Alligator mississippiensis: one gene and its partners. The protein of the gene in region 1 interacts with the protein of each later gene in a biochemical or structural test. Links are inferred from orthologs where the notes say so. Each region holds a gene or a part of one and is shown in the gene's direction. Other genes may lie near its edges.

Region 1 (7,625 bases):
ATGGTAACCAAATAAAATTAAGTAGAATAGTGAGGTATGGCACCATTTAAAAAAATGGGAAAAAAATGCTCACTGAGGAAAAAAAAAATGTCAACTCAGTGTTGTGACATTATATTTGGAAAACAAACTTCTTATTAACTTGGATTTATTTCACACTCACTATTTACTGCATTTTAACCAACTGTGGTTTACAAATGAGCCAAAGGTGTATCATAATAGTTTCAATTGTCTTGATTTCCCTCTATCTCCATTCCCCCCCCAAAAATATTTAAAATCATTTTAAAGCAAACTAAGTTTTAACGAAAAATAATTTATATTTTTTCTGTTGTGAATGCTAAATAGCTCTTCATTTGTTCAGATGCACTCTCTCCTCCAAATACTTAAAACATATTCAAATTCTTGTAACTTCAGCATCTGAGTTAGACGATAGATAAAATAAATACAGCTAAGCAAAACCAGAAGAACAAAGCAGAACTGTTTTCAAGACTGCTATTTATCTTTATAATCCTTCCTTTCCAGAAAGCAGGTCCTATGTAGCTACTACTCTACCTACTTATGAGCAAAGGTACTTCTCTTGCTCTCATTCAAATAAGAGATTCCAGGTAGTTGTGAAAAAGTAGAAGTATCAACTGACATTAAAAACTGGTCATGCTAATATTCTTCAAGCACCGAGAACATCTGTGAAAGCCCAAGTTGGAATCTGGCTTTAATTCCAGGGCAGGTTAAATGAAGCAGAAAAACATTAATGATTTGAAAGATGCAAGAATCATAGCAAGAATAGAACTGTCAAATAGCAGTCAACTAAACTTCTTGTCCAAAAAAGTGAAAGATACAATGAATCCTGGCAGAGATCAGATGAAGAGGTCACAGCAATCCAGGTAGCTTTAAGAGGGAAAGGACATATACACTCAAAGATTCACATAGTATTTGCTAACAAATACAGTGGAGGCAAGGTCCTTTCCTAATGGCACTGAGACTGTAAAAAAATACTCACAAATCAAATCCTGAAGAAGGCACAAGAAGAATTAAAGGATGAAAGCTTAAACCAGACAAATTCAAAATAGAAGTGCTGCCAGGATTTTTACGAGTAAAATTATTAACCATTTAATTGCACATCAAGGAAAAGGGTAAATACTTCAGCTCTTAATATCTTTACATCAAGTTTGGATTTCTTTATAGAAGATATTTTGACCTAATAACTTATCTTTGCTTCATATAGAATCTTAAGCTAAATAAACAAGAGGGATCACTGGTTTTATTTTTTAAATACATGAATGCATGAAAGCTTGCTTAATAACTATTCTCCAACCATTTGGGTTGGTCTAATAAAAGATATCAAATTCACCCAAGGAACCTTGTCTGCCTATGTCCTTAGACCAACATGGCTACAACCTAAACCCCTGTGACTATGACTAGTTATCATTAACTTACTGTGTTTCACTGGTAAAACAGAAGTGCTTCAACACCCTTACAAACCTAATGGAACCTCACAAAATAATTCCTTGTCTTTCTATTACTTCCAAAGAAGCCAACCCACATCTAGGGTGCCTACAGATGTTTACGGCCCCACTCTAACTCGTGGCACTTTATGTAAAGTGCCATGAGTTAGAGGCCCTGCCCCAACAGAGGGGTAGGGGCTGGAGCCTGCTTGCCCTGGCCAGCAGATGGGACCCTGCCTCTCCCCTCCCCTCAAGCTCTGGGGCTATCAGTGGGAGAGGGAGGAGGGGGAATGGGTTTTTGCTTTGTGCTTATTTTATCCAATAGGCTTTCTTTTGCTTTAATTCTGTGGGTCTAAGATAACATGACCGGGGAAACTCAGGAAAATAGAGATTTACACAAAATACATGCATCTTTCTTTCCCTAAAAAAAAAAAAAAAAAAAAGCCAAACAGGAAGTGCTCCTCAGGTAACAGGGAACATTTTAGCACTTTTCCCAGTCAGAGCATATATTAAAACCTCTTATGATTTGAAGTTTCTTACAGTATGTATTTCCATAACCAAACAACATATACGTTTCATTAGTTTTCAAAGAAAAAGAAATTAGACATGTCTATCTTCTTCTTTAGATGGTATGGGTTGATTTTTAGGTACCCACATACAATTCTGACACTCCAAAACTTTGGGAGGTCTGAGTTTGGGACTGGGTCCTGCCACTGTCTCCTTCCTATCATCTAGGAGGAAAGAGGCACGTGAACCCACATACAGTGTGTTAGACACTACAGGCTACAACTCAGCTGACTGTCTACCTTCCCCACTAACTGGAGGTAGGATTTCTCACAAGAGTTGCTGCCCTACAAAGTTGAACTTAAAGCAGAATCTCTTAGGCTTTGGGTCTCAAGATCAAGTAGAAGAGGAACTCGGGCTTCAACACTACCAGCAGTAGAAGTCACTCTCCAGAGTTTTGACTCCGGTGAAGGGCTGAACATATGCAAACAATTGATTTATTCCCTCAGGACAGAGTTGTCTTTTGGTTGTTCCATCTTATGAACTGTAATTTAGACTTTTCTGATTAAGAGAACACACATTTCTGAACAGCCACCTCGGCCATTGCAATGGCTTCCTAGGTGCTTTATCCTTCTCCTGGACTTTTTCCATTTCTGTACTTGCATAAGTTTCCCCAGCATTTAATTCACAGCCACTCGGCCTTTTACGAGTGTCCCTTCACTCCACTAGGGCTGACACTAGTTGAATGCTCTGATGTGCTTCAGTGTCCACAGTAAAGGAAGGCACTGAACTACTCTGAGAAGTTACCAGTAAAAGCTAAGCCAATTTGATCATTCAAGTTTTGCAGCAGTTTGCCTGCATTGATTTAATATTGATGTAGTTAATCCAGTCATCTTTAGCAACTATGACCAATTAGCTTCTGGAGGGACAGATATTTCTTTTCTTTCCCTAGCACCGTTTCTATTACTCCTCCCACAATTGCTACTCCATTTTCTACTCCCCTTTTCTTTTCTGGTACCTCTTCTCAGTTAACTTGCTTTCCTTCCTCTTTGCCACTCACCTTTTCTTTAATCATGTTTCTCTTCTCCCTATTGACTCATGTTTCCTCCCCCTTAACCTTGCTTTCTTACACATGTGGGATTTCACAGATTGAACACTTTGGGCCTGATTCTCCATTGCCCTGCACTTTGGATAGTCAGTGACACTTCTGCAATTAGGCCACCATTCTGGTGTGGCAGCGTCAGAAAGGCATCTGGAACTGTGAAGAATCAGCAACCCTATTTATACACACCAAGTTATTCCCTGCAGATGTTTGATCAGATTTCTTCCTGCTGACTCCTTTAACCTATGGCAATAACAAACACTACAGAGACAAAAAACTTATAACTGTAACCAGGAGGAAATACAGAACCAATCGGTATATCTATTTTCAGAAGCAAAAGGTGGGAAGACAGAAATCACATGTGCAAGAGATGCCCCTCCTCCTTCAGAAATATAGATGACTTTACTCAGGGGTCAGCAATATATGGTCCACAGGCCACACCTGGCCTCTGCAGCCATTGGATCCTGCCTGTAGAGCCAGGGGGCCTTGCCCACAGCTGTGCTGGGCAGCAAGGAGCTGAGCCAGGATCAGGTGGAAAGGGGTGAGCTTGTGCTGCACCTAAGGGGTAGGGAGAAGAAGCAGAAGGGAAGAGCGGTGGCAGGGTTGGGACACTGGCCCACCTCAGACCAGACCGAAGCTTGATTATTTCCACCAGGGGCTCCAAAAGATTGTTATCTGCCGCTTGACATGTTTAGCTATTCCTTGTCTTTCAACTGCCATACAGTAACCACCCAAGAATAAGGTGAAGGACATAGCCACAGCACAGAAAGACAGCTAAACACTTACCCCAAAATTCAGTATAAACACTGCTTATTACTCACAGGAGTAGCCTACACCTCATTAAGGCCTGCGGCCTTGTTTTTCCGGAGTGGCCTAAGTCTTTAGTAAGGATCCTGGAACTGACAAGACCTCTAGTTTTAGGGGCTCCCCAGGCCTTGATACTGAGGGAGCCAAGTCAGTTTCACCCATGAGGGAGTTAAATAGATACAGCACGACAATTTTTACCAAGGAGAGCGAGAGGGGGCCCAAGGCTTAACCACTTCGGTGTTTAAAGGTCACAAAATATCAGACATTAAGTCAGTCACTGATTCAGGTCTGGATCCCAGGAATTTGGGGAAATTAAGGGAAACAGGGGAGAAAGAAAGGGAAAGAGAGAGAGAGAGAGAGAAAGAGAGAGAGAGACGTCTCCAGCAGCAGGATTTGAGACTGCAGCGGCGGGGGGAGATTGGACGGAGGGCAGCAGCGAGGAGGGATAGATGCAGGTAAGCGCGGCTGGCTCAGTCCGCCCACAGACCCGCAACCGCCTCCCCCGCACGGACCCGCAACCTGCCGCCGCACACACCCGCGCCCGGAGAACCCGCAGCCCCTTCCACACAGCCTGCTCACAGCATCGGTAACCCTGGCAACCTCAAGTCACCGCCTCATTGGCTGATTTCACACGAGGCAGCGACCAATGGCGCGCGGCCCTGCGCGGGGCTCGGCCAATGGCGGCGGGGCACGGGGCAGGGCGTCGCGTGACGCGCGGGGCGGGGGGCGGAGCCAGCGGGCGGCCAGGAGTGGACGCGGCGGCAGCGGCGGCACCATGGAGACCCCGGGCTAGGGCCGGGCGCGCGGCGCGGCGGGGGCTGCGCTGGGCCCGTCCGCGCCCGGACCCCGCCGGCGCCTGCATCTGCGCGGTGAGTGCGGCGGGCGCGGGGACTGGGCGCCCCGTCCCGTCCCGTGCTGTCCCGTCCCTTCCCTTCCCGCTGCCCCGAGGAGCCTCCTCCGGCGCGGCCCCGTGGCCAGTGCTCGGCTCCGCAGCCCGCGCTGTGCTCGGCCCCCGCGTGCGGCCGGGCACGGGGCGGGGCGCTGCCGGGCTGGGCAGGTGCGAGCCGCGGCTCGGGCGGGCGCAGGAATGCGAGGAACGCGCCGGGAAGGAGCCCGCCCGCTTCCCGCAGCCGCAGGGCCCCGGAGCATCTGCCTGGCGGCCTCCCCGCCCGCCTGCGCCGCGCTCAGGTTAGAGGCTCGCGGCACTTGCCCGCCATGAGATCAGTCCTGGACTCTGCCCCCCCCCCCTCCTCCCGCGGCCTTTGCTTCCCGCGCCAAGTTGAGCTCCTGCTTGAAACATGCTGGGGCTCCGGGGAGGTCGGACCAGCCTGGTGCCGCAGCGCGGCCTCCCCTAGCCCTTGTGGCTGCAGGGTGTGGGAAATTGCTGTCGGTGCCTGGACACCTCTTGTTGTCTCCTGAATTGCGGCTTTTCATCTTCCTGAGCCGCAGCGAGACCCCCATATCTCACGTCACTCGAAGGAACAGAGAGGCAGTGTTGTGGCAGGGATGGGACAGAGAGGACGGTCTGGCACCGGGAGCTGTGCACGGGGCGTGTCGGCCACCAGCTGAGACAAGGCAGCACCGCGGCAGGAGACCGCTTGCCACCATGTCTTCTCCCACCGTTACGCTCTGTAGCCCGACGGGAGTTTTCATTCTGCTGCTCAAACCATCGTAGCTGCTTCTCTGGGTGTTTGCCAGGGGGTGATTTGGAGCAGGTGGGAGAGGAGCGGAGGAGGAAGAGGTTTTGCCAACTTTGGTAGCAGAATGCTCCTGAGCGTGGTCTAATAGCGGTTATTTTTTGTCTGTGGCTTTTCTTTCTCTGTGAGTTAAAAGGTAATAATTACAATGGTAGACTGTCTTAGAGAAGTCAGGCTGGAAGGGAACCCCAGAGGTCATCTAGTGACTACACTAGTCTAACCCCCTGCCTGAGGCAGGATCATTCCTATCCAAACCGTCCTGTACAATCCATATGTAAGACTGCCATCGAATATGATGCAATACAGACTTGGCACCCTAACCTGCCACAGGTAGAGCAGGGGGACTGCAACAGCCAACCTCTCGCTTTTATGAAATGTCAGTACAAGCTCAAGAGATCCCAGGTAGAAGGCCATGCCTCCACTGCAGAGGAAGGCAAACCCCCTTACAGCCCAGACCGATCTGACCATGGGGTAAAATTCCTTTCTGTTGCCAAACATGGCAATCGGTCTAACCCTTTGTAGAGGGACAAGACCCTGTAGTTGGAAACCTCAGGAGGAGCATTGGCACAAATCAGTCAAAGTCTACATAGCATTTATCTAAAGAAATCATAGTAGTAGCTAAATCAATTCGGGGACTGTTATGCCTGCTGCTGCTTTGACACATTGTTTTGGACAGTTTTGTTACTAGGGCATCATGATCAGAAGGATAAATTTAGCTATTTGGAATCTGTTAATCAGTGTGGAGAGTGGTTAAGAAAAGAGGAATATATTTCTCCAGTAAACTCATAGCATTATTGAACTGCTTTAAATCCAAAAGGTCTGAGATGATTGTTAGTTGCTATGCGTGTTGAGCACAACTAAAGGATTAAATGTGTGGCTCTCTCTTCCCATGTGACAACCACATATCAGTACCCAAATCTTAGAGATATTTTTCACTCCTAAAATATTCCTTGTTGCTGAATATAGGGAGCACAGCTATGGATTTTCCTGCCTGATCAATAAGCAAAATAAACGGAAGAAAAATGACAAATACCTTCAAACAAGCACTTCTGACTGACTGTAATGACGCATGCAGATGTTTTATAGCTGACACATTGTGCCTCTGAGGATGGATTGCATTTACTAGTTTGCCTGTGTGTATACTAATCGGCAGGAGTCATACAAAAAGTGTAGGCATATTGGTAGACGTGATTTAGTAGGTAGAGCATGTCTACCCTGTCTGGATTAGGGGTTCTGAGAGGGGAAGAAATGAAAGAGTGAAACGAATTCTGAAGTTGTTGAGTCTAAGATGTTGCAGCACAAACTAATATTTCTGTGATCAATGGGTGCTCCCAGTGTAAAATTCTAAATTGTGTATAGGAACACTATATTTTTTGCAGGGGGGACAAGTAAGGAGGGAGGGGAAGAATGCTCTTTTTTCAGATGCCAACACACACACAAAAATCTATAGGGCAAATGTACTGTTGTATTTTCTAAGTATGTAGTCCCAAGAAGACTATTCTATGCTTCCTTTCTAATCTTCCTCTACATACTAATATTTTAAACAGCAGTCCAAACCAGCATGTGGTATATAATTATGTATAAAACTAACTGCTTGAAGCAATAGGTGTGGTATTAGTAAAGGTAGTAATATTTTATAATTTGCCTTTAATTCTCTTGATGACTGTAAATTTTTTTATAAATCCTACTTGAAGAAGGGAGACCAGGAAAGGAGAATAAACCTTTTTTTGCCTTATTGAATAGTTTTCGGGGGGAGGTGGGGGGGTAGAATTATTTTTTAATGTGGTAATTATTTTTGGCAATTCTTTTTAAAACTTAAAATTGGAGCATAAGATTATTGGAACATAATACATATTTTGGTGAACAGCATCATCTTGCAAATCACATCTATTCTCAGAGGGAGAAATACCCCAAAAGCAAAAACAAGAACAACCCTGCTCCCCTTCCCACAGTTTTTGCCTTGGAAGCTGTATTAATTCAGTTGTTTTTAAAAAATATTCATAAAGGACACTTGCAGTATGCTACGTGCATTTTTAATTTAGTTGGTTCAATCAATGCACTAAGTATTTTCCAATA
Region 2 (7,831 bases), on another chromosome or scaffold:
TACGTATGGAAGAAAGTCAGTCAGTTAAAATGTAAATTGAAGTGGTCAGTAGGTGAGACAGATGGTGGGGGGGGAAGGAAATGAATGTAGCTGTAGTCAATGGATACAGAGTTGGGGGAAGAGAATGAGAAAAACTCTCCACTTTTTACCAGGTAATCTGGGGAGTCAGATGTTAGGCAGGTTATAATGTGTCATAAATCCAATGTCTATATTTACTCCATTATGTTTTGTATCCAGTAGACTGACAAAGTGAAGTTCAAAGGTTCGTCTGTGAAAAGTTGTTTGTAAATTCCTTTTGAGGATTACAACTGAGAGATTGGTTTTCTTGTGAGAGAGGTGCTCCCACAGGTAACTGGGTATTCTTGTCTTTGATAGATTTTCGGTGTGTGTTTATTCTGGTACACCGTTGTTATTTGGTTTCTCTAACATATTTTCCATCAGGGTAATCGGTGCATTGGATGAGATGTATTGCAATTCTGGAGATGCAGATGTAAGATCCAGGAACGTTGATGGTTCTGTTGTGGGGTATAGGAACTGTGGGGGTGGTAGAGATGTGTTGACAGGTCTTACATTTCTTGTCATAGCATGGTCTGGATCCATTTGGTGTGTTTTGGGTCATAGGAAGTTTGCTTCTGGTGATGAAGTTGGCGAGGTTCGGTGCTTGTTTAAAGCTAGGATAGGTGGTTCTGGAAAGAACTCTTTAAAAATAGGGTCTCCTTCTAGTACTGCTTGAGGATTTTCCATATAGGATCCAGGGAGGGATGGTATGTCATAAACAGTGGTGTGCAATTCATGGAGGGGGTGTTTCTTCTATAATGCAGCAATTTTCTACATGGTAGCCAGGTGGCTCTTTCAAAAGTACGATTTATCTCTCTGGAACAGAACTGGTTAAAATTTGTCCTCGTACAATTTGATGGTTTTAATGTTTTGATTTGTTAGGTGTTTGCAGACTTTAGTCAAAAAGTGGAATGCAACTTAAGTCATAATCCTAAGAAAGATAATTTTTAAAAGCGCCATTTTTTAAACTGTTTGATTAGAAAGACTGTACCACCAGTGGGAGGGACAGTTGTAAGAGCTAGATGCTTTACTGTCCTGTCCATAACCAGCTTGGAAACAAGCATCACGACCTGTTAGTTAATTTAGTCCATTTAATTGTAGTTATTAATATTAATTCATAATTACGATTTAGTATTTGTATTGTAGTGATATTCAGAAATACCAGCTAGAATCAGGGGCCCATTATGCTAGTTAGAATACAAATGCAAGTTAAGAAAAGATGCAGAAAATGAGTGTAACAAACAGTAGGCATAAAAGAGCAACAAGGAATAAGAACATATGGTTACATGGTGCAGCAATATGTATACTGTTCTGAATCATTTGAGTTTTTTAATTTAGAAAAATACATGTTAGATGTGACTGTTTTGGCAGCTTCTTTCAGTTATGTAGTTTGCTGTTGCAATATTTGCTAATCTTGCTATTTAAATATAGAATCAGAAAACTTTGGGTGTGGTGTCTAGTATCAAGACCTAGTTAACTTCCAGGTTGCAGGGGTGTAGGTTGTAGCCGTGTTGGTCTAAGGACATAGGCAGACAAGGTTCACCCAAGGAACCTTGTCTGCCTAAGACCTAGTTAAAGAATTTGTTTCAACCTTCCATAGAATTATGTGCATGGCCCCATCTAAAGATATCTTGCTATATTACTTTAGAGTTTGTATGTTGTATATTTAACATGTAAATTATGTGGTAACTGGAATACCAAGTCTGGGAGTTAATTTTTGCAGTGGACTGTGCTTTAGCTGTAATCTAAATACTATTCTGATATTTATAGCCGTTTTATATCCCTAGGATAACTTTTGGTATATTTGTAATTTGTGTAAATAGTTTAATCTTGTCTGTATAAAATGTCTCGAGGAGCTCTGATCTAAGATACTTTTTTTAAAATTTGTGGTTATATTGTTTGGGTTTGGATGGTGCATACCACAAGTAAAATTAAATCTTACCCTGAAACTATAAATGAAATAATAGTAGATCTTGCATGGGAATGACAGCCACTGTGAATCTCCTACACTCCACTAGCAGATGTGTTAAGTAATTTACAGCAAACATTGCCACACAACCATCCCACCATAAACAAAAGGCAGGATAAGCTCATGCTCCAGGTAGGTGCCTCAAATTGTTCATGAAAATAAGTAGGTCACCAGAGAGAAGTATAGTCTTGTAATAACGTTAATTATAGCGATACAGTGTTGCTATCAGAAAGGAACTCTCAGTTGTTCATGCAAGGTGAAACTTCAGCAATTCTATTGTAGCATCACTGTAGTGACTCTATTGATAAATGAGAAAGTACTTTAATTCTATGCCTCTGTTTTCAAGCACTTTTAACTTTAAGGACTAAAGGTTCTCATACTTGGTCTTTGTCCAAATGTGAGTCATTTGAAGAAAATAGCTTATGTGAACATGAGAGATTAGTGGTGATTTTGTACTTCAAGGAAGAAAAATTAGGATTTTTTTTCCAACTCTGGTTCCAGTGATTGTGTTTAAATTTTGAAGCTTGCCATAAATGTAGCTCTAAGTCAGGAATGTATGCTTTATTAAATTGAGAAGAGGGGATTAGTTGAGAAATAGAGGAGAAATAAGTTGAGCTAAACTAAGTTAATGCATAGTGCTGATATACATGCATGTCAAGTTCCTATGTCCAGATGTCTGACATTAGACAGTGAAATGGGCAATTCCCATTCACACATGAGAACATTCTAATAAAACCTCTGAATGGCACAAACGTGTATTTATTTAAATATGATCAACTGCATTTCATTGCTATTGTAAACTAAACTACCCTCACCAGCACTTCAAACATTAGTCAAATGGTGGCCCGCACGGTTAGAAATGGTTTGGGGAGCTTTTCATCTTTAGGCTGGCTGCTGGACTCAGATGTAGGCTGATAGTGACAAGTCATTACTACCTGATGTCTGTTAGGCGGCTTATAAAAACAAGTTGATGTTTAGTCCCATTCTTAGTCAACAGGTTTTGACAAGAGAAAATTATTGGCAGAGTTGAAGGCAGTCCCAGCAGAGATGCCAAAGATTAAATGGGCATGAAAACTGAACTCCCTCTGTCCTTACAGGTGGTCCCCCTAGAACACAATTAGGGAACATAAGGTGAGCAGCGTGTAGAAGTCTGCCCTGCTGTTGCCTGTGCTGTCCACTTTGCAGCACAACAGAATTGCAGGCTCCAGGACTTCCTTTAGGATTCGGCAAAAGCAGTCAATCAGCTAAATTACAGGGGGGAGGGGGAGCATTCAAGGAAAGAAAAGGTAACAAACAGTTGGTGCAACATGTTGTTGAGTGCGAACATGCAGAGGAGTTCTGAAGCCAGGTGACCGTGAACTGCGGTTCCTGTTAAGTTGTGTGTGGTGATACATTAGAGTTCGTGAAAGTGTAGAAGTGATGGTCCATAAATTATAACAGAAGCAAGCTGGGTTTTTGGTTGTAGCCATGTTGGTCTAAAGACATAGGCAGGTAAGGTTATTTGGGTAAATGCAATATCTTTTGTTAGACCAAATGAGTAGTTGGAAAAAAGTTCTATGCAAGCTTTCAGGCTTTCTCCTGTTTTTTCTTCCCCTCTCTTCCCTTCCCTACCTTTTGTTTTCCTAATTTCCACCCATGTACATTGTCACTGACATCCTGTCATACTTTTAGCTTCTCTCATTTCCTTGGAGTCTTAGACCAGCAGAGACTCCCTATGTGCCTATGTGCTTTCAGGCACAGTCAGACGAAGGGTGACTGTGCCTGAAAGCTTGTAAACTTTTTTTTTTCCAGCTACTCAGTTGGTCTAATAAAAGATATCACACCTACTCAAAGAACCTTGCCTGCCACAAGCAGTGCATGCCCCCATTGGCTGGGAGGGCACGGTGGCAGCGGGAGTGCAGCTGTGGTAAGCGAGGGAGATCCCGCAGACGCCGCGGGTACTGTTGGCAGGGTGGGGAGGATGGCAAGCACCAAGGTTTGGCGACCACCCTCACTCACCGGCGGTGGTGTGGGCGGCGGGGTGGCGAGTGGTGCCCGCCTGCAGGCACTGCGGACAGCGTAGAGGGTGCCCTGCCATGCTCAAGGGGTGCCCGTGCACCTGCTATGTGTCGCCCTGGGGCTGCCACAACAGAAGTGAGAACTCCTTAGGGTGATGATGGCTTGTTGGGCCAACTACGTAGTTGGAATAAAGGCAGACAAGCTTCCCGATGCCAGCCCTTTTTCCTCAGGTCTCTGCTGGCTGCACCGTCAGCCCAGCCCAGCCCAGCTCAACTCGCAGGCCGTTTCCGGGCAGAGGCCCCACGGCAGGGCCTGTGCTGGTGGCCCGGAGAGCCGCCGCCGCCTCCTCCCCGCGCCAGGCCAGCTTCCCCGAAACCACTCGGCTCCTGCCGCCCAGGGCTGCGAGCGGCGCCCACCGCAGCTCCCGCGCGCGCCCAAGGGGAGAAACCCGCGGGGCCCCTTCCCCAGCACCGCCCCGGCTTCCTTCCGCGTCACAGCCAGGCTACGCCCGGCCCTCGGCGCGGAGCCATTGGCTGTCGGCGGCCAGGCCGGGCGCGGACTGGCGGACCTCGCTGCCACTCGCTCGCAGGCAGCCAGTGGGAGCGAGGCGAGGCGAGGCGAGACGAGACGGCACCTCCCGCCGCCGCTGCTGCAGTGCCCCCCCCGGCCTGGGCGGCGCTGTGCGGGCGCTGCCGTGTGCGGCGAGGCGGAGGCAGCGAACGCCCCGAGCCGCGCTCCCAGCGCCGCCGCCGCCGCCGCCGGGCGAGGGAGGGGCAGACGGGGCGGGGCGGGGCGGGGCGGGGCTGCGCTGGCCCCCGGGCCCCTGGCGGCGGCGGCAGGACAATAAGGGGCCTGGGCGGCGCGGCGCGGCGCGGCACCGGCCTAGCGCGGGGGAGGAGCTGGTGCTGCGGGGCCGCTCGCCCGTGGGGGAAGCTCGGCGGCGGCAGTGGCGCTTCCCGGCAGCGGCGCCGGGCCCGGGCCGAGGTGAGCGGGGCGAGGGGCGGGCGAGCCGCGTGGGGCGGGCGGCGGCGCCTCATGCCGCCCTTTGTGCGGCCGGGGCCCGCGGGGCTCAACTTCCTTTGTTCCGCGTAGGCGGCTCCGGATGGCGGCCGGGCCCTGCCGGGGCGCGGGGCTGGGGACCGGAGCCAACTTCCAGCCTGGGCTTGCGCCAGCTCCTAGCGCCCAGGTGGAGGCCGCCCGCCCGCCTGCCGGCGGCACTGCTCGGGGAAGCCCGCGGGCGCCGTCCCCGGGGCTCCGCTACGTCCGTGTCGTGGCTGCTGCTTGCTGTGCGCCGTGGGGGAGCCGGCACACCGCTACGGAGCCAAGTTTCTATGCGCTCTCCGGCCTGCTCTGGTTTAAGGGGGCTCAAGGAGCAGCTGCCACATGTTAGATATACCGGGGTCCCCGCGCTGCTTGAGCAGGGAAGAGAGAGACGATGTCCAGGAAGCAGGAAGCTGTGAACTTTTTTTTTTAAAGGTCTGGGAAGCCAAGGCTGTGGAGTGGCTTGTTTGCGTTGGTAGAAACCAGTGGGAATTGCCGTTGTCCCTTGTGAGGTGAACCTGACAGACAGCGGTTTGTTTTGAGCGATGAGATGAGGTAGGGTGTACAGTGCCGGCTGCTTGTGGTGTTGAGGATTGGGTGGGGGAGGGGGTCAGTTTTGAGTTTTGCAGCAAGGCATCTTAAGCTTTCCTTTTTGTGTGAACTTACCTACACCTGGGTCTGAGTGCGGTCAGAGGTAGACAAGGCACCAGTTAAATAACGAGGCAGCTTTGTGTTTTGTGTGAAAGTTTTGTTCGTCTGACAGACTGGTTTGATAGCTTTTTTTTTAGTAGAAAAATGACAACTTTCAGCTGATCTTAGACACCAGGTATATCGGTAATAAACATCTGATCGGTGTACAGCTTACAGGTTTACCTTTGCAGGCAGCAATAAACATCTTGAAAGGACTGGAACAAAATAGATGGCAGTGAACTTCAGCTTCCTTATATGGCTTAGGCTTGGCAGAAAAGCATTGAAGCCTAAATAGAGTAATCCTTTTACAAAGAACGATCACTTTCCAAAGCAGTGCTTCATTCCCAATAATGACTTTAGTTTCTAAGGGGGGGAACTGTAGCAGTGCATGACAAAAGTAGTTGCAAATCAGTGTGTTTGTGGATGAAATTTGTTTTTTTTCAGACCTTTTGGTTGTCTGATGATACACTTCATATTTTTTCAATGATGTGCAGGAGAATAGATCCTTATAGTTGGGGCTGCAACGTTTTACACTAGTGTTTTGTCACCATGGTAGCTATGATAAGGCCCTTCTTTAATGATGAAAGTGGAATTCACTACTGCTTACAGCTAAGAGCTACGTCATAGAATTCCATTCATTTCATTGCCACAGTGTTAGTTGTAATCAGGAAGCTGATCCTTTTGGGTAATCAGCAGTGTCTTTTAATGTTTTAAAAAATACATGGCAGTATATTTTTTAATTGACAGTTTTGTTCAGTTTAGTTATGTAGTATAAAACATTGTCTCTGGTATGGGTAGCTTATGTACCACACCCTCCATAACTTTCACTGTTTAATCTTTAAAATTATATATTCCTTTGTTACTGAAATATTTTCACTTAATGTACTGCTTTCCCAATCCCCCAAATTGAGTTATGCTCTCTCTGCATGTGCATGATCACCTATTTACTTTTAATTGCCAATGTGCCAAAATACTGTGTCAGAGGCATATAAAACATGGTTAACACAGCAATCGTAAAGAGATCTCTCTTCCAATTCTCAGCCTTAAGTTACTTAAGTTTTTTTTTGGCACATAAGTGAACTTTGTAGGATCTTGTTTCTAAGTCTAATTCATACAGAGTTGATTTTAGGAGCTTTTGGGGAGGAAAAGCTATAAAATGTGGTGATGGGGGGTGGGGGGGAAGTCGTTGGATGTTCAACTTTAAAGTAATAACAGTGCTAATTTTTCCTGAGTTTAGGTTATATTTAAGAGGCAAGGACTTTTGGAGTAATAGCTCCAGTTGGTCCAATAAAAGATGCATAGCAGAGAGAATACAGGCTTGTGCAAAATTCCATGCATTTAATAAAAACAGGGTATAAGTGAGATTATCAGGTTACTTTCCTCAAAAGACATGAGGAAGGGTACAGTGGTACCTGAAAGCTTGTCTATGTCCTTCCCAGCTATACAGTTGATCCAATAAAAGATATCATGGACAAAAATTTTTGCCTTCCACATTTTTCCTGGTTCATCAAAGCTACATCAGCTCAATACTACCAAAACATGGAGAATGTATTTAATGCTTTCTAGATTCTTGGCTAAGTTTGATTATATTCATGGTATGGCTACTAAGAAAATATTTTTCTTTACATTTATGACATCAGCATTTTGGTACAGTTTTCCTTGCTTTCCTCTGAAAGTGAAATAATAGGAAGACATTTCTTCCTTTTCATTTTACCTAGGGCTGTTCATGAAATATTTTTCTTTTTTCTTTTATAATTAATGCTTTCTCTTTGCTAGGGGAAAAAGAGAAAAGTTTGTGTGAACACCAAGTGTTGATTTTTTTCCATCACTTCTGGAATCACCTGATTTTCTTTTGGTGGGTTTGATAGCTGGTTTGGTTACTGAAGTTTTGGTTTAACTTTTCCAAATAACTGGGAGATAAAACTACTTTTATTAACCTGAAAATAAAAGATTGGATCCATGTGGGAACATGCTTGCTGTGCAGGCAATTTAATGTAGGTGATTACAGATGATGTTCTTGATTAAAACGTTCACTGGAAAATACCACACACACAGAGGTACAGCAGATCTTTCTGG
Region 3 (7,566 bases), on another chromosome or scaffold:
AGTAAGGTTCAAATGATTGCTTCCTGGCTTGTTGATCCATCACTCTGGCCTCATTTGATTTTTTCCAGCACCACTCAGCAAGGGGAGAGTGCAGTGTCAGAGCTATGTATGAGACTCTTATCATTACTCATAGCATCAGGATCCAATGTAATAAGATTCTCTCATTAAAAAAAATCCTGCTCAGATTTGGGGATTCCATTTACAAAGAAATGAACTTGTTGCTTATGGTGGATTCTTTTGCACAATCACTGGAGAAGCACGTGGTGCATTTCTTTCCCTCTGCTCGGGCCACATTTTTGTCACTTAGCAAACCACCCTTACCTTGGCAGATCCTTTATAAATGCTAGTAATAATAGGCCTGCTTCCCTTCCTGCGTGCATGTTCCTCCCCCATGAAGAGGAGGAAAGCCCCCCTTAGGGTTCATTTTATTGCTGCTGGAAATGGGGATTGTGTTAGAACTAATGAGATCATATAACAGGGACTTCTACTGCTGTCTCCTCCCAGCAGGGATTTCTTTAAAAAGCTTGGACAAAGGATGTGTGAGCCATCACAACTCCAGTACCAAAGCTCTGCAGGCAAGAGTAGGAAAATCTGCCCAAAAGAGAATGAGAAATGCAGGTCAGTAAATGTAAACGTGTAACAGTAAATTCCTCCCTCGAGAGTGGTGGGCATGGCACTCCCCCAGGGTCTCTTGAGCATATATTGACATTTCGTAGAAAGAATTAGGATGTTGGCTGCTGTGGCTCCCGTTTTACTCGTGGCAGGTTTGGGTGTGAGGTCTGTGTCGTGTCAGGGTTGATGGTCATCTCGCGTGGAGTTGAGATTGACAGGTTTGCCTGGGTTGGTTTGGACAGGGCTGATCCTGCCTCAGACAGGGGGTTGGGCTAGATGTGACCTCCGGAGCTCCCTGCCGGCCCCACTGCTCAGCGGTTCTATGAAAGAATTTGTGCAGCTGTAGATTAAGTGGGTATTTTTATACAATGTTTTCATTACTACCTAGCACAGGGATCTGCAACCTGTGGGTTGGATCTGACCTGTAGAGCTGCCAGGGGGAAAAGCACCAGGACCAGATGCTGTTCAACACTGAGAAGTGTAAAGCGCTCCATCTGGGGAGGAAAAATCCGCAACAAACTTATAGGCTGAAACGGACCTGGGGGTCATCACTGACCATAAAATGAATATGAGCACCAGTGTGATGCTACAGTTAGCAGGGCAAACAATAGTCTGTCATGCATCAGCCGATGTATCTCAAACAAAACTGAGGAAGTTATTCTCCCGCTTTACTCGGCATTCACGATGCTGCAGCTGGAGTACTGCATCCAGTTCTGGGTGCCGCACTTCCGGAAGGATGTGGAGGAGTTGAGAGAGTCTAGAGAAGAGTCATTCGTATGATTAGAGGCCTGAAGAGCAAGCCATACGAGGCAAGGCTGACGGATATGGGACTGTTCAGCCTAGAAAAGAGAAAACTTCGGGGGGATTTGGTGGCAGCTTACAAATATATCAGGGGTGAGAATCAGGGGCTAGGTGAACAACTATTCACCAAAGCGCCCCAGGGGGAAACCAGGAGCAACGGTCATAAACTCCTAGAAGAAGGTTTAAGACTGGATCTAATGAAAAACTTCTTCACGGTTCGTGTGACCAGACTCTGGAATCGACTCCCAGCGGGGTGGTGGCACCTACCCTGGAAATCTTCAAAAGGAGCCTGGACGCACGCCTTGCTGGGGTTATTTGACCCCACCAGTCTTCCCTGCCGAGAGCAGGGGGGCTGGACCCAATGATCTCATGAGGTCCCTTCCAGCCCTAAACTTCTGTGATTCTGCGCCTCCTTCACTGTAGCTTCCATCCTTCAGAGGCCCAGGAAGTCCTAATTTGCAGGTTGTACCCCTATTACATTTGCTTCCCAGATTCTGCATTAATCTTGCTCAATCCCCTTTTGAACCCAGTCAAATTATTTGCCTCTACAACTTCTTGTGGCAACGAGTTCCACAAGTTAATTACCTGCGGTGTGAAAAATATCTTCCTTTCCTTTGTTTCGGAGCTACCTCCTGATGATTTCTTTGTATGTCCCATCACACTAGTATTGTAAGAGACAGCAAATCCCCATGTGCTTTCTCCACGCCTGTCATGTTTTTATAGGCAGAAAAACAGAACATAAGAACTGCCATTTACTGAGTCGACCACAGGGGTGGTGCTAGGGGTGCTTGGGGGCTACAGCCACCCCAAAGATTGCCTTAGCCCCCGTAGCCACCCTCCCAGTGCCATCGCCACCCGCAGCTGAGCCCTCCCGCCTGCCCCGTGCAGCTGCCTCGACCATAGGTCCATCTTGCCCCATCTCCTGTCACACGGGGCAGAGTGCAGATGTTGGAAGGGGGAGTGAACTGGGTCTGACCTGGGTTTTTCCTGTTGTTCCTCTCTCTTGCAGCCTCCAGCATTTAAGGTCTAGGAGGTTCTGATTGAGAGGCTGTACATCTGCCACAGTCTCCCCTGTCCCCTGGCTGTCTCTTCTATGAATCCTGCACATCATGCCGACCAGTACTGTCTCACGCATGGTGCTGCCCCATCTGCCTCTCTTCTCATCTCCTCCTGTTGGCTCTCTCTGGGGCAGGTCTGTCTTGCTCTGCGTGCGCAGCACCTACCACGATGAGGTCTCAGCCCATGACCGGGGCTCCCAGGAGCCACGATGAAAGTACAGTACCGCTATTCCTATGACTACAACAAGGAACTGCTGTTCGAAGGACAGAAAGCCAAATTCTGTCTGGCATTTAGAAATAGTCTGCAATGCAAACTAATATGACATCAAGGAATTGGATGCGGTATTGTTCAGTCATTTAGATTCCACATTCCCTTTTTTTCCCTTCTTCTCAGAATCAGCTTTCACAAAACCTAAGATTCTGTCATTTTCAATAAACTGACAAGGGTTTCCAAGAAAAAGTCACCATTTCCCACAATTGCAACAGAACTGTAGCTGAGACATCACAGACTTTCCCTGTGCTTGGGACAGCCGTGGCACCGTCGGGCAAATCCCTGAGGGTGCAGCGCAGGGTCCGAATTGCACTTTGACTCTGGGGGGGCGGTCTGCAAAAAAAATGGGGCTGCCCATCATGATGCCCTAATAAAACCAGAGGCACCCCCCCCCGGTTATGATTTTAAAATTTTACAGGGGGGCTGTCATGTCCTATGGCCCGGCTCAGCCCCACCGAGCTCCCCCATAAGTTGAGCACTGGTACAGTGGCATGGCTGCACCCCCCTTTGGGCATGGATCGCACTGTGGGGGACTTCCTAGAGCAGGTGAAAATCCTCCCTCCCTCCCCCTTCCTGCTCAAAGACACACCGCCTCCCCCTCTCCTGGCTTCCTTCCTTCCTGCCCTGCCCTGCTGTCCTGGGGACGGGAAGCGCTGGAGCCCTTCCTGGTCGGGGGGGGGGGGGGGAGAAAGAGCAGCAGGGATGGCCGGGGCTCCCCCTCCCTGCCTGGGCCGGCGTGGGGAACTGCTCCCCGGCTGCCCTGTTGCTGCCGGTCCCCTCCCCGCTGAGCCCAGCCCCGGCCCAGCCAGGCTGCCTCCAGCTCCCCCCCCCCCCACACAACACAACGGGGAGAAAGGGCGGCCGGTGGGGGTACAGGCAGGTCCGGGCTGGGGGAAGGGGAAGGGGGGGCTGACACGTGCTTGCTTTGGGCACTTCAGCCCCGGAGGCCCCTGCTAGGCGGGCTGGGCTGGGCTGCCTGCACTGGGGGGCTGGAGCAGGGGTGTGGCCCCCCGCCGTGGGGGTCTTGACCCGCACCCCCTGGGTGCACCCCGCCTGCGTGGAGAACAGGTCCCGTCCTGGAGGTCGGGCTGCCAGCGCCGTCTGCACCCGCCCCGGGGTGGCCCGTGCCGTGCCATGCCACGCCACGCCACACCAGCATGTCCACGATGTGGCGTGCCAACGACGCCCGTGCCAACGTGCCTGTGACACCCGTGCCAGCATGCCTGTGGCCGCAATGCCTGTGTCAATGTGCCTGTAACACCCATGCCAACGTGCCCGTGATGCCCGTGCCAACATGCCTGTGACACTCGTGCCAGCATGCCTGTGGCCGCGATGCCTGTGTCAATGTGCCTGTAACACCCATGCCAACGTGCCCGTGACGCCCGTGCCAACATGCCTGTGGCCGCAACGCCTGTGTCAATGTGCCTGTGACACCCATGCCAACGTGCCCGTGACGCCCGTGCCAACATGCCTGTGGCCGCGATGCCTGTGCCAATGTGCCAACGTGCCCGCGACGCCCGTGGCGGCGTGGCCGGGGCGGGTGCGGAGGCGGGGACCCGTCGCGGCCGGGGGCTGCCCGGCTCGTGGCGCTGCGGCGGCTGGCGGGGCGGGGCCTGCGGGGCGGGGCGGGGCCGGGCGGGGCGGGGCCGGGCGCACCTGAGGCGGGGCGGGGCGGGGCGGGGCGGGGGAGCGCTCACCTGGCCCCCGGGCCCGGCCCGGCCCCGCGCGGGGCGGCCGCTGATTGGGCGGCGCGGGCCGGTCACGTGGGGGCGCCGCGCGGCCCCGCCGCCATTTTGCCTGGAAACTTTGGAATTTCAAAGCGGCGCGAGCGGGAGGCGGCGGCGGCGGAGCCGGAGCGGCGGCGGCAGCACCGGGAGCGGGAGCGGCGCGGCCGCCACGAGTCCAGCCGGGGCCGCCCCCGCCCGCGCTCCCCGGGACGGGCGGGGCGGCACCATGCCCGTCCGGAAGCAAGGTGGGGGCGCGGCGGGAGCGGGCCCCTCACAGCCCGGGGCGGGGGCAGGGGGACACGGCGAGTTGGGCGGGCGGTGGCGGCCGGGCGGCCGGGCCCCCCCGCTGACCGCGCCGTGCCGTGCCGCCCGCAGACACCCGGCGCGCGCTGCGCCTGCTGGAGGAGTACCGCGCCAAGCTGAGCCACGCCGAGGACCGGCAGCTGCGGAGCTCGCTCGAGCGCGTCATCGGCATCTTCCAGAGCAGCCTCTTCCAGGCGCTCATCGGTGAGTGTCGGCCGGGCCGGGCGGGGAAGCCGCGAGCAGGGCCCGGCTGCGCCTCAGCCGGCGGCCGGGAGCGGGGAGGGGAGGGGAGGGGCGGCCGGGCGCGGCGCGGCGCGGCGGCGAGACGCGGCGCCAGGAAAGTTGCGGAGAGGCGGGCGGGCGGGCGGGCGCTGTCCCGGGCCGCGCGGCCCCCCTCGCCGCCCCCTACGAGTCCTCCGAGAGACACCGGAGCGGTCGGTGTTGGAGCTTCGTCCCCCGCTTCTCCCTTCTCCTCAGCCAAGTTCCTCGTGACCCTATTCTGGGGAGAAATAGGGAGAGAAAGTTTTTCTTGTTTTTTTTGTTTTTTATTACTTCTTATCTTTCCCAATAAAACATGAGAGGCGAAGGCCTGCGGGTGCGGCTGCGTAGACAAGAGCGCGTTCACCTCGCCGGCAGCAAGGAACCAAGTCCTGTCATTAATAAGTCATATTTAACTTGCCAGCATGGACGGGCAAAGCTCTTCTTAGAAGTGCCTTTGTCTCGGGGTTGTTCCTTGCCTTGAGCGCGCGGTGCCGCGGGTCGGGGGCACTCGTGTTCTGGCCCTGCCGCGCGGCCGGCCGGCCGACGGGTGTGGAGCCCGGAGCAGACCCGCGTGGCCCCAGCCCCCGCCGTCTCTGCCCGCCGGTCCAGCGCGCAGCCTGCCGCCCCCCAGACCGTCCTGTGGGCGCAGCAGCAGGGTGCCAGGGGCTGCTGCTCGCCCACGGGCTGCTCTATAGGTCCCGGTTGATATTGGGACTTAGTGCTTGTTTTAGGCTGTGCTGTGTCAAACAATCAAGTTCTTTCAACTCTTCTCCTGTAACCTTGTCTGGCATTCTCCTACGCTTCGGTCTCCATAAAAAAGGTTATGATACAGTGACTGTTTTCGCTGTCGACTTCCGAAATGGAAGTCCTGCATTAATACCACTTTAAACTTGTGAACTTAAACATCCCTCATCTGGCTCGCGAAGGAGAAGTCAGTCTCATGAAGAAAGGCTTGGCTGACTTTGAGGGATGGGCGTACGAGCCCTCTGTGGTGGATCAAACTAGTGAAGTTTTATATTAGTCACACTTGGTGTTGTGCAAGAGTTTGTGGTTTTTTCTCACCCCTTTTTGCGCTCCCTTGCCATATTATTTTTGTTGGAACTTACTATAATGGCTCATGGATTTTCCTCTTAGAAATTCCTAGAAGTTTATTCTTTATTCCTTCCTTCTAGAAAACAAGGAGGAAACCTGTTCCAGCTTCTTCCCCTAAATGTCCATAATGACGCTTCATCAGGCTAAAGGAGCTCGTCTTTTCTATGGCATTAGCCTTTGATACTGTGATCTCTTCTGCTCTAATACTGTCTGTAATATTATATAAGCTATCTCTATCAACAATACAGGAATTCATGAAACACCAAGCCAGTGCTTATGTTGCAGTATATACTATATAAAAGAAAAGGAATATGTGCTGGCAGGATGTAGAAACAAGGATCTGTTTTTGCAGATAGCACCGATGTGAGGGACTGTAGCAGTTTGACATCCTGGCTCTCGTTGTTGCTTTAAGGTGAACTACTTTTACAGAAGTTTTAGAGCTCTTTGCCTTGCTCGAACAGGTTAAAGCTGCATGGCATGCAAACTGAGTTCAAGAGGAGTATTGTGTCTTAACCCTGTAAGACTTATTTTCTAATGAAAGAGGAAAAACATCTGTGTTTTGATTACGCTTATATGCAACCCTTTCTAGAGAAGGCTCAGGGTGGCTTACAGCAACTACATAATGTATAAAAACAGAATAAAACATTGGAATGCAGTATAATGAAACTAGGGGTTCACAGATAATGATTTTCTTGGTTGATACCAATAGCCAATTATTAACCAACCATATTGGCTGATGCCGATCTGATAACTGATATTTAGTAATAATGCAAGGCATTTTGAAGTACTGACAGAAATAAACCTTGGTTTTGTTTGTTTTGTTGTTCTCTGGCACACTCCAGCCTCCTGCGTCACATGCATCAGCATCCCTGTGCTTAAAACTGGCAGCGGGGTGCTTGAACTGAAGCTCATGGAATGAGCTTTAGTTCAAGTGCTGCCGCCACCATTTTTAAGTGCGGGGACGCTTGAGCTGAGCAGAGTGAAGGCGGATGTGGGCTGCTCTCTGTGGGCTCAGGGCGCTCTGCCCCAGGAGCTCCATGCTGGCCCCATGCCCCCTGCCCACCCAGCAGTGGGGCACACAACTCGCTGCCCCCACTGCTGCCAGACAGGCAGGCAATGCGGGGCCGGTGTGGGGCTCCTGTGGGAAAGGCAGCAGAGCAGAGAACCTTGAGCCCATGTCTAGGCACAAGTCTGGGGGGGCACATGCCCTACCTCCCCAAGGGGGTGCATGCAGTGGTGGGGAGTTACTGTCTCCCCCACGCCCCTCTGGATGAGCCACCTGTGGCTCTGACCTGCTCACAGGCCCAACCCCAGGTCCTGTGCACCACCCTGGCTGGGTAGCAGGGACCACAGTGGGAGGCAGGGAAAAGGGCACCAAGTGGAGTAGTTGTTAGTCAGGCAACAGAAATAAAGCAGCAAGTTGGGCAGGGAGCAGAGAGCC
Region 4 (7,249 bases), on another chromosome or scaffold:
GCACTTTCATAATGCTGTGCAAACTATGAATGTCATGTGCTCCAGCAAGATTGTCTGTATTTCTGTTTTCCTATCTTCTCTTTCTGTCCCTTTATATGTTAGCACTATGGGGGAAAGCTAAGGAAGAACTATGTAAGACCCATTGAATCTGTGGTGTAAAGGGGTATCCACAGAACAACTGCCAACATGGGAAAAGGAGTACATAATGTTGGGTTGGCTGCAGGGATAGGGGATTTGGCTACCTCAGTGGGGTACCTCTGTAGCAGGCAGACCAGTGATTACAAGGGTATCTCTGCTGGATCTAGGACTTGATCTGGTAATATGATGCTTGGCTTTTTCTTTTTTGCATGTGTTGCTCCAATAAACATGCCTGTCTAAGAACCATGCCCTGGTTCATTCATGCAATGGTATCATTTCTGGTCTCTGCTTGTGTATCAGGTTTCTCTCCCACCTGTGATTTGAGAGGGTTCAGGTGCTCTGTCACTCTGTCCTGCTCTGGGTTTACCAGATTCACTGGTTTGATAAGATGTGGAGTTTCTGGATCACTAAGTCTAAAAATAGATGTTGGGTTTATCCCAGGTCCTAGGCTTCGCCTTGCATCAAAACAAGCATAAGACACAGGGAGCCTGAATAGCAAGTAACTCAGATTAGCAGTGATTTAGGGGGGAGTGTTATCTTGATACTTCATAGGTACTTCACAGGCACTTAAAGTGGGACAATGGGCTTGCACATCTGTAGGATCATAGAACAAAAGGCTTTGTCTCGAAGAAATCCAGCATTTGTTTTTCAGCCTCCAGAAGTTCCACGCAAAAGGTGCTGGTGGAATATTGGACTAGCAAAGTCCCTATGGTGACAGCAGACTGCTAGTTCTTTCTAAGGGCATGGTGCACTGAGCATTGATGCAGGCCAGCTGGAGCGCCTTTGTCTTTATGCAACATTGGAAACTGTCCCCTATTGGCTCCTTACTCAGCATTTGTCATATTGTTTATATTACCTGTTCTGTGTTACCATTGGTCAGGTGGACAAAATAAAGCGTCTTCACAGAAGCATCTCAGTATGGGACCACAGTGCAAGGCATAAGCAGTGACTAATTAGGAGTATGACACACATACCCGGACTCCCTATGAGCTGGGCTTACAAAGGATGGAGTCTTGCTATGTACCAGAATTTAAATTTGCTGGGGCCATCCAGTCAGAGGAATAGATGACATGTGGGCAGGTGATCCAGACAGCTAGTAAGGCAGCATGGGACATTGTGGAAGGTCTTGGAAGACATGCAACACTTGCCATGAGATGAAGAAGCATCCACACTTACTTCATTGTGGGTAAATTTTTCCTCCAGGTTTTCCATCTTCCAGGTTTTCCATCTGTTCAACCACCATCTGATTCAGAACAAGAAAGGCTCTTTGTGGATACGTGGTACTTACACAGATTACACCTCAAGTCAACCTGCTTTGAATTTCAAGTATAGACCAATCCTAACTCCTATGGATTTATGCTGAGATTTTTGTTTTTGCAACAAGTGTTGCCAGACAACTCACTGGTTTAAATGCTAAACTTTCCTTGTCAGTTTTCTGACAAAATAACTAGAAACCATCACCCTCAAAGTATGATAAGGCACTGTACCTGGTAAGAGAGAAAGACTAAAAAGCAATAAATCTAAAATAGTTTTAATAAAGAAAACATTTAAGGGACACTACTATGCCCCAGTTCTTTTTAATTTGACTATTCCTTGTCTGTGTCTGAAAATCCTAGTACATCGTGGCATGAGACTCACAAAGAGAAATTGACTAGAAATGAAATAAAGCTGGACATTTCCCTTTCCTGTGTTCTCCATGCTTTCCCTGTGGCAGGTTAAAGTGTTATGTCTTGTGGTTGTGTCAAGGTTAACTGTATAATTTTGCTAACAATGGATTTGTGTAGGATGGTTTGGATAAGGATGATCCTGCCTTATGCAAGGGGTTGGACTAGATGACCTCTGGAGGTCCCTTCCAACCCTGCTTTTCTGTAATTCTATGATTCAGTGTCCAGAAGGAGTAAAATGCAAAAATCAGAGAGCACAAATCAAACTGGATTTTTAAGATGCTCAATTTGAATAATTTGAAGTTAGTAATAAAACAGGGAAGGAAGACAAGACTATTTTAGGTAAGGTATAATTTAACTTACATTTATGTTCTAAGCGTAAGTCACTGTTCATTTCAGACTTGTACAATCTTTCCCAAACACCCAGATCCCTTCTGAGGATAAAGCAGGAGATAAAAGAAAGGAGAAAGAGACTTTTTAAAGGATCTGTAAAAATTCTAAAAATAACTCTGAGCCTATGAAACCGTGACACTGCACAATATACATGAGGGCCTTGGGGAAACAGGGAGGGCTTCAGTAAATATTTCTGGGTATGTCTACACATACACTTTAATGCAAAATAGCCTATTTTACTGATTATTAAAGTGGTGCGTAAAAAAAGTGCTAATATGATAATGTGCAGTAAAATAGGCTACTGAGCATTAAGTGTCACCTCAAAAGCATGTGCTGGCACTACTGCACATGAAGGCAGTCTAATGCACATTAATTTAGTACCTCACATTGGAGGTGCTAAGTTTAATGTGCATTAGGAAAAGCACTTTAATACATGTGTAGAAGCGCCCTCTGAGTGACATGCAACAGTTTAAAAGGGATTAGCATGATCTAGCCTTTTCCTGGCTTAGTGATACTTCCTCAGCCCAGTCACCAAAAGACAGGATACGATCATGCATTGACTTAAGTTACACAGTAAACTTAGACCGTACTAATGTTGAATGATACTGGAGTCAGAACGTGCTGTGAACGGCTGCCTATCAAGAGTTAACACCATTTCTTGCCTGAGCAGCTCTGACTTGCTACATGAGGGCTGCCCTTATCTCTGCTCTGGGTATGAGGGGAGGCTAGGGTGCATTGCATCCTGGGATGCCGGAGGACTACAAATTGCTCATTTGATCTCTGTGGAGGAGCCTGAAGTTACCTAACATGAGCTAGGTAGCATGGCCCAGAGATAACCCACATCTGCAATAGCATAACTTTGAGATGCTCAGAGGGCATTTAGTACAAGTTAAGAAGCTTTAAGGTGCAGATGCTGGCATTTTATGTGCCTTTAGTATGGTCTAAGTGCAATACAGACGTGGATTCTTATTACATTCCCTGGATTAGTTTGTGACCCCTTTCTTCCTCTGGACTTAATGCTTTCCTCTCCTACCTCTGCCCCCTCCCCCATATATCTCTCTTTGAATCAGGGCTTCCTAGACCTTAAATGCTGGAGGCTGCAAATGAGAGAGGAACAACAGAAAAAAAAACCCCTTGTCAGACGTACTTCACTGCCACTTTCAGCCTCCCTCTCTGCCGCTGTTTGACACAGGACTGTTTTACTGTCAAGGGATCATGGGCCGTTGTCCACCAAGAACTATAAACCTCCTTTGGAAAGGGCTGCTGCTCAGAAAATAAGACCACATTTATTGGGAAAAGAAAAGGCAAAACAGGGATGGGAGCGATGGTCAAAGGTTCAGACTGAGTGCGCCAAAGGGGGGAACGGAGCAGAGTACACGGGGTAGTGCCCACTGGCCCCAAACGAGTCCAAGGAGCCAGTGGACTGTGTGACCCAAGCCTATTTAACACATAGGGTTACCATGGGGTTAACACTTGTGGGGCAAAGGTTGACGGCCCCCCGTCCCGTTATTCGGTATAAGTTGATCGGTTTTGTGGGAAAACGAAAGAGAAAGCAGGAAGAGGAGTGAGGTCCTAGGTTCAAAACAAGTGCGGCAAGGGCGGACACAAAGCAGAGCGCCCCGCACGATGCCCAGCGGCTCCCCAGCGGGGCTGCGGGACACGCACGGGCCTGTTCGACGCCTCTGGGGAACAGGGGCCTTCTCCCACAGGCCAAGGGTTCGCGCCCCGCTACCGGACGGGGTTACGGAGCGCGTCCACTGAGCTTGCGGAATCAACACAAGACAAAACGGGGATGGTGGGTTCAGCACGAGCGCGCCCGGGGCAGGCACGGCGCGGCTCCCAGGCCACTGCAGGGAGGCGGTGGCTCCTGCATGAGAGGGGCACTGTGCTCGGAGCTGCAGGGGGCAGAGCCGCCAGCCCCACGAGGAGCCGCGGGGAGGACGGGCGCGCGTGGCGGCTGTGCCCCGGCGCGGGCGGGCGGGGCTTGCGGCCGCCACTCAGCGCTGCCCGCGCCCGGGGAGGCGGCGCCGGCGGCCCCGCGCTGCCCATGGACGCGGGGCCGAGCGCAGCCGGAGCCGGAGCGGCCGCACGAGCCGCCCCCGCGGGACCCGCGCCGCGCGGGGAGGTGAGTGCGTGAGCGCGGGGCCGGCCCCGCTCCCCCGCGCCTGCCCCGGCCTCCCCGGCGCTCAAGTGTCTCGGCAGAGTGAGATTTGGGGTTTTTTTTGGGGGGGGGGGGGTTGGTGCAGAAAGCGGCTTCCCCCCCTCAGCTCTGACGTGCCAAGTTTGAGAGCTGCTCGGGCTCTGCAGCTGAGGGTGTTTCTTTCTTCCAGCCCCTGACATGCCTTTTCTGTCCTTAGCGTGTCCCCACAAGCGCCGGAGCCCACCGCAGTCCTGCTTGTTGCAGTTTAAGCTCCTGTCCCCTGTGGCTGCCGAGGTGATCACGACTTTTTTGCGTGGTCCGAGCCCCCCCAGTTTTGTATTTGAAGACTCTTTCTATATTTGCCCTAGATCCTCTCTCCTCTCCGTGAAATAATCCCCGTTCTTCCAGCTTTCCTGCCTTCTAGATCTCTGCTCATTTTTCTTGCTCTTCTGTGGACTCTTTCTGATGGCTTATCCCACATAGTTATTACTTTGGAAGATTTTTCTCATGGCCAGGTAAAGTCCCGAATGGAGGGGAGAGTCTTGCCTCACTCCTGAAGACATTGTCCTCTGGAAACCAAAGTGCACAACAAGTATGTGTGCGAGGTGGACTTGCAATGTACTATGTACGCTCCACGTTCATCTGCTAGTGCTTAGTCCAACAGAAATCCCAGTATGGTTTGATGTTTTATAATGCTCACTGGCGACTAGAAAAGTCTTGTGAGCAAGCTGACTTGATTGTTTGATTTTCTTTTTAGATTCGGGTTCAAAATGGCTCTATTTGAGGTTTTTGCAATGTTTCCAAGGCTTTTGTACCCCTTTAACAACTCGCCAAGGTTGTGTTCAAGTCACAGTACAGTACTTAAAGCCTTGGAAGACTTTTAGCATTGACATGAAGGCAACTAAAATTTGTTCTTTTGAAAAAAAAGCTGGTAACTTGTTAGATTCATCTTGATTTTTCCTCAGGCTGATGGAAGAAAGAAACAACAACTTAGTGAAGGAGTATTTTCTCTGCTGACCCATAAAGCTAGTAAAACAAACTTTTTTTTCACCCACAAGAGAGAGATAATTTTAGTGTCTGGTAAAATTGTTCTTCCTTTATTCTTCAGCATACACTTCTTGGGGGAGTGTGTTCATGTCAGTATGTCAGCGGGAATCTGAAAAATGGGGGGGTGTAGACAGATACAGTAGTGATACCAGCATTAAATTATAGGTATAGCTGAATAAAATCTGTTATGCCTGTCTGATTCTATACTGGTATAGGGAACTTAGATTGCTGTAAATGTTAACTTTAAATCTGTTTCATTCATTATTATAAAGTTACGGGGGTTTAGTGTGTAGGAGTAGACAGACGTTACAGCTGGGGATATGGACACACCTCTATTTGGAGCCATTCCAAAAGAGCAGCAGCTGTTCTGGTTTAATTGTTACCTTTGGGCAAGCCAAGGATGATACAGATGGGACAAAACTGATCTAACCTTAACACTGCCTCATCCAGGGTTGAAGCTGGAGTGGTTTTCCTACATCTATAGGGCTCTCAGCCTGTTCAGACCTCAGGGTTGGAACATAACAGCCGCTTCCCTTTTGAATCCAGATGTATGTGCGTCCATACCCTGAGTGGCAAGCTATCCCTCTCTTCCTGCTTAAAGTTATGTGGGTCCACAGCCAGGGTCAGAGTGAATTTGTAAAGGTTACAAGGGAGCCTGAGCTCTGAGGTGGTAGACACGTCTCCTCCATTAGACCATAGTACATCCCATCTAAATTACTTCAAAACTGTCTAGGAAGGCCAAGCTCACATGTCAGCCATGCTGAATGAAATCAGTGCCCCTGGATCATTGGTGTCTAACAAAAAGGTATTTCAGTAATGGTTGGCATCTCGTCTGAATGCTTACAGTATTGCAGCCGAGCCAGTACCTCCCAATCTGTGCCACGAGTCTCATGTAGTGAAACAAAATGGATGAAGCTATCCAGTGTCACTCTGGGGTCCTTCCTGAAAGACAGGTAAGGACCATCTCAGACCTGGCTTAGTTCAACCGTGCCAAGGTTTGTAGTATGCTTTTAAAAATCTTCATTTTTTTCCCTCTTTAATTTAAAAAAAGTAAAGTTTTCCCTTTCAAAACCAAAGTAAAATAACAGCTGTAAATGAGTAATAGTAATTTTTGGGGTTTTTTTTATTATTGTTTAGACTCTAATCCTGATAGGAAACACCTTTTACTTCTTGAAAGGCCAGCTGAGTTGCAAATTAAAAGTGGTGAATATTAACCAGAGTTTTAGAGGAAGAAGTCTTATGATGCAGGAGAGCTCTAATGCTATGGTTCTCAACCTTTTTTGTACCAGGACTTTTCTTGTAAACATTGATGGCCAGTCCTGACCCAGTGCCCCTCACTCCCTACCCACTGCCCCCTGCCCCCATGCCCCAACCCCCCAGGGCAGGAGAGGTGTGTGGGGTAGCGGGGGCACCCAGGCAGCCCCTTGCAGGCTGGAACTCTGCCAGCCTGCAAAGGAAAAGCCACAGTTTCCCATGTTTTTCTCATTTAAAGGAGAATCGATTTTTAAAAGGCGTTGATCCAGTTTTAAAATTTGTTCACGACCCTTTATATATTTTTGTGACCCACTTTTGGGCTGTGACTCACAAATTGAGAAATGCTGCTCTAAAGTATAACTGCTGTTGTCAATATAGGAGTTGCTCTTTAATTCTGTTAACTGTTTTTGTGCCCATCTCCAGATAATGCATATAGTGCTTTTATCCCAAGGAATTCCAAAGCCCATTTACAAAATCCATTATATAAAATGTACAAAAATCCCCCAAACATCTGTTAATGCACCATTAATGCTGAACTGAAATCTAAAAGTCAGGAAATGCAAAATCTGAAGTTCCAGATTGCATTGCACATCTTGCCAGTACTTTCTTTTCT

Evidence for each region.
Region 2: the proteins of PKP4 (region 1) and ERBIN form a complex in vitro, tested with the Homo sapiens proteins (4 studies listed by BioGRID and IntAct, with this or other methods). The link is inferred for Alligator mississippiensis from reciprocal best matches to the Homo sapiens genes PKP4 and ERBIN.
Region 3: the proteins of PKP4 (region 1) and DLG1 interact in a test that uses a peptide from one of them, tested with the Homo sapiens proteins (2 studies listed by IntAct, with this or other methods). The link is inferred for Alligator mississippiensis from reciprocal best matches to the Homo sapiens genes PKP4 and DLG1.
Region 4: the proteins of PKP4 (region 1) and PDZD2 form a complex in vitro, tested with the Homo sapiens proteins (2 studies listed by BioGRID and IntAct, with this or other methods). The link is inferred for Alligator mississippiensis from reciprocal best matches to the Homo sapiens genes PKP4 and PDZD2.

The regions. Positions count from the first base shown.
Region 1 is NC_081827.1:222,273,564-222,281,188, reverse strand, and holds the start of PKP4 (plakophilin-4), read left to right. Parts: upstream 1-4,613; 5' UTR 4,614-4,721; intron 4,722-7,625. UniProt on the Homo sapiens protein: Plays a role as a regulator of Rho activity during cytokinesis. May play a role in junctional plaques.
Region 2 is NC_081826.1:260,483,025-260,490,855, reverse strand, and holds the start of ERBIN (erbin), read left to right. Parts: upstream 1-4,826; 5' UTR 4,827-5,008; intron 5,009-7,831. UniProt on the Homo sapiens protein: Acts as an adapter for the receptor ERBB2, in epithelia. By binding the unphosphorylated 'Tyr-1248' of receptor ERBB2, it may contribute to stabilize this unphosphorylated state.
Region 3 is NC_081830.1:89,480,281-89,487,846, forward strand, and holds the start of DLG1 (disks large homolog 1), read left to right. Parts: upstream 1-4,562; 5' UTR 4,563-4,695; coding exon 4,696-4,714; intron 4,715-4,844; coding exon 4,845-4,976; intron 4,977-7,566. UniProt on the Homo sapiens protein: Essential multidomain scaffolding protein required for normal development. Recruits channels, receptors and signaling molecules to discrete plasma membrane domains in polarized cells.
Region 4 is NC_081826.1:281,623,045-281,630,293, forward strand, and holds the start of PDZD2 (PDZ domain-containing protein 2), read left to right. Parts: upstream 1-4,233; 5' UTR 4,234-4,320; intron 4,321-7,249.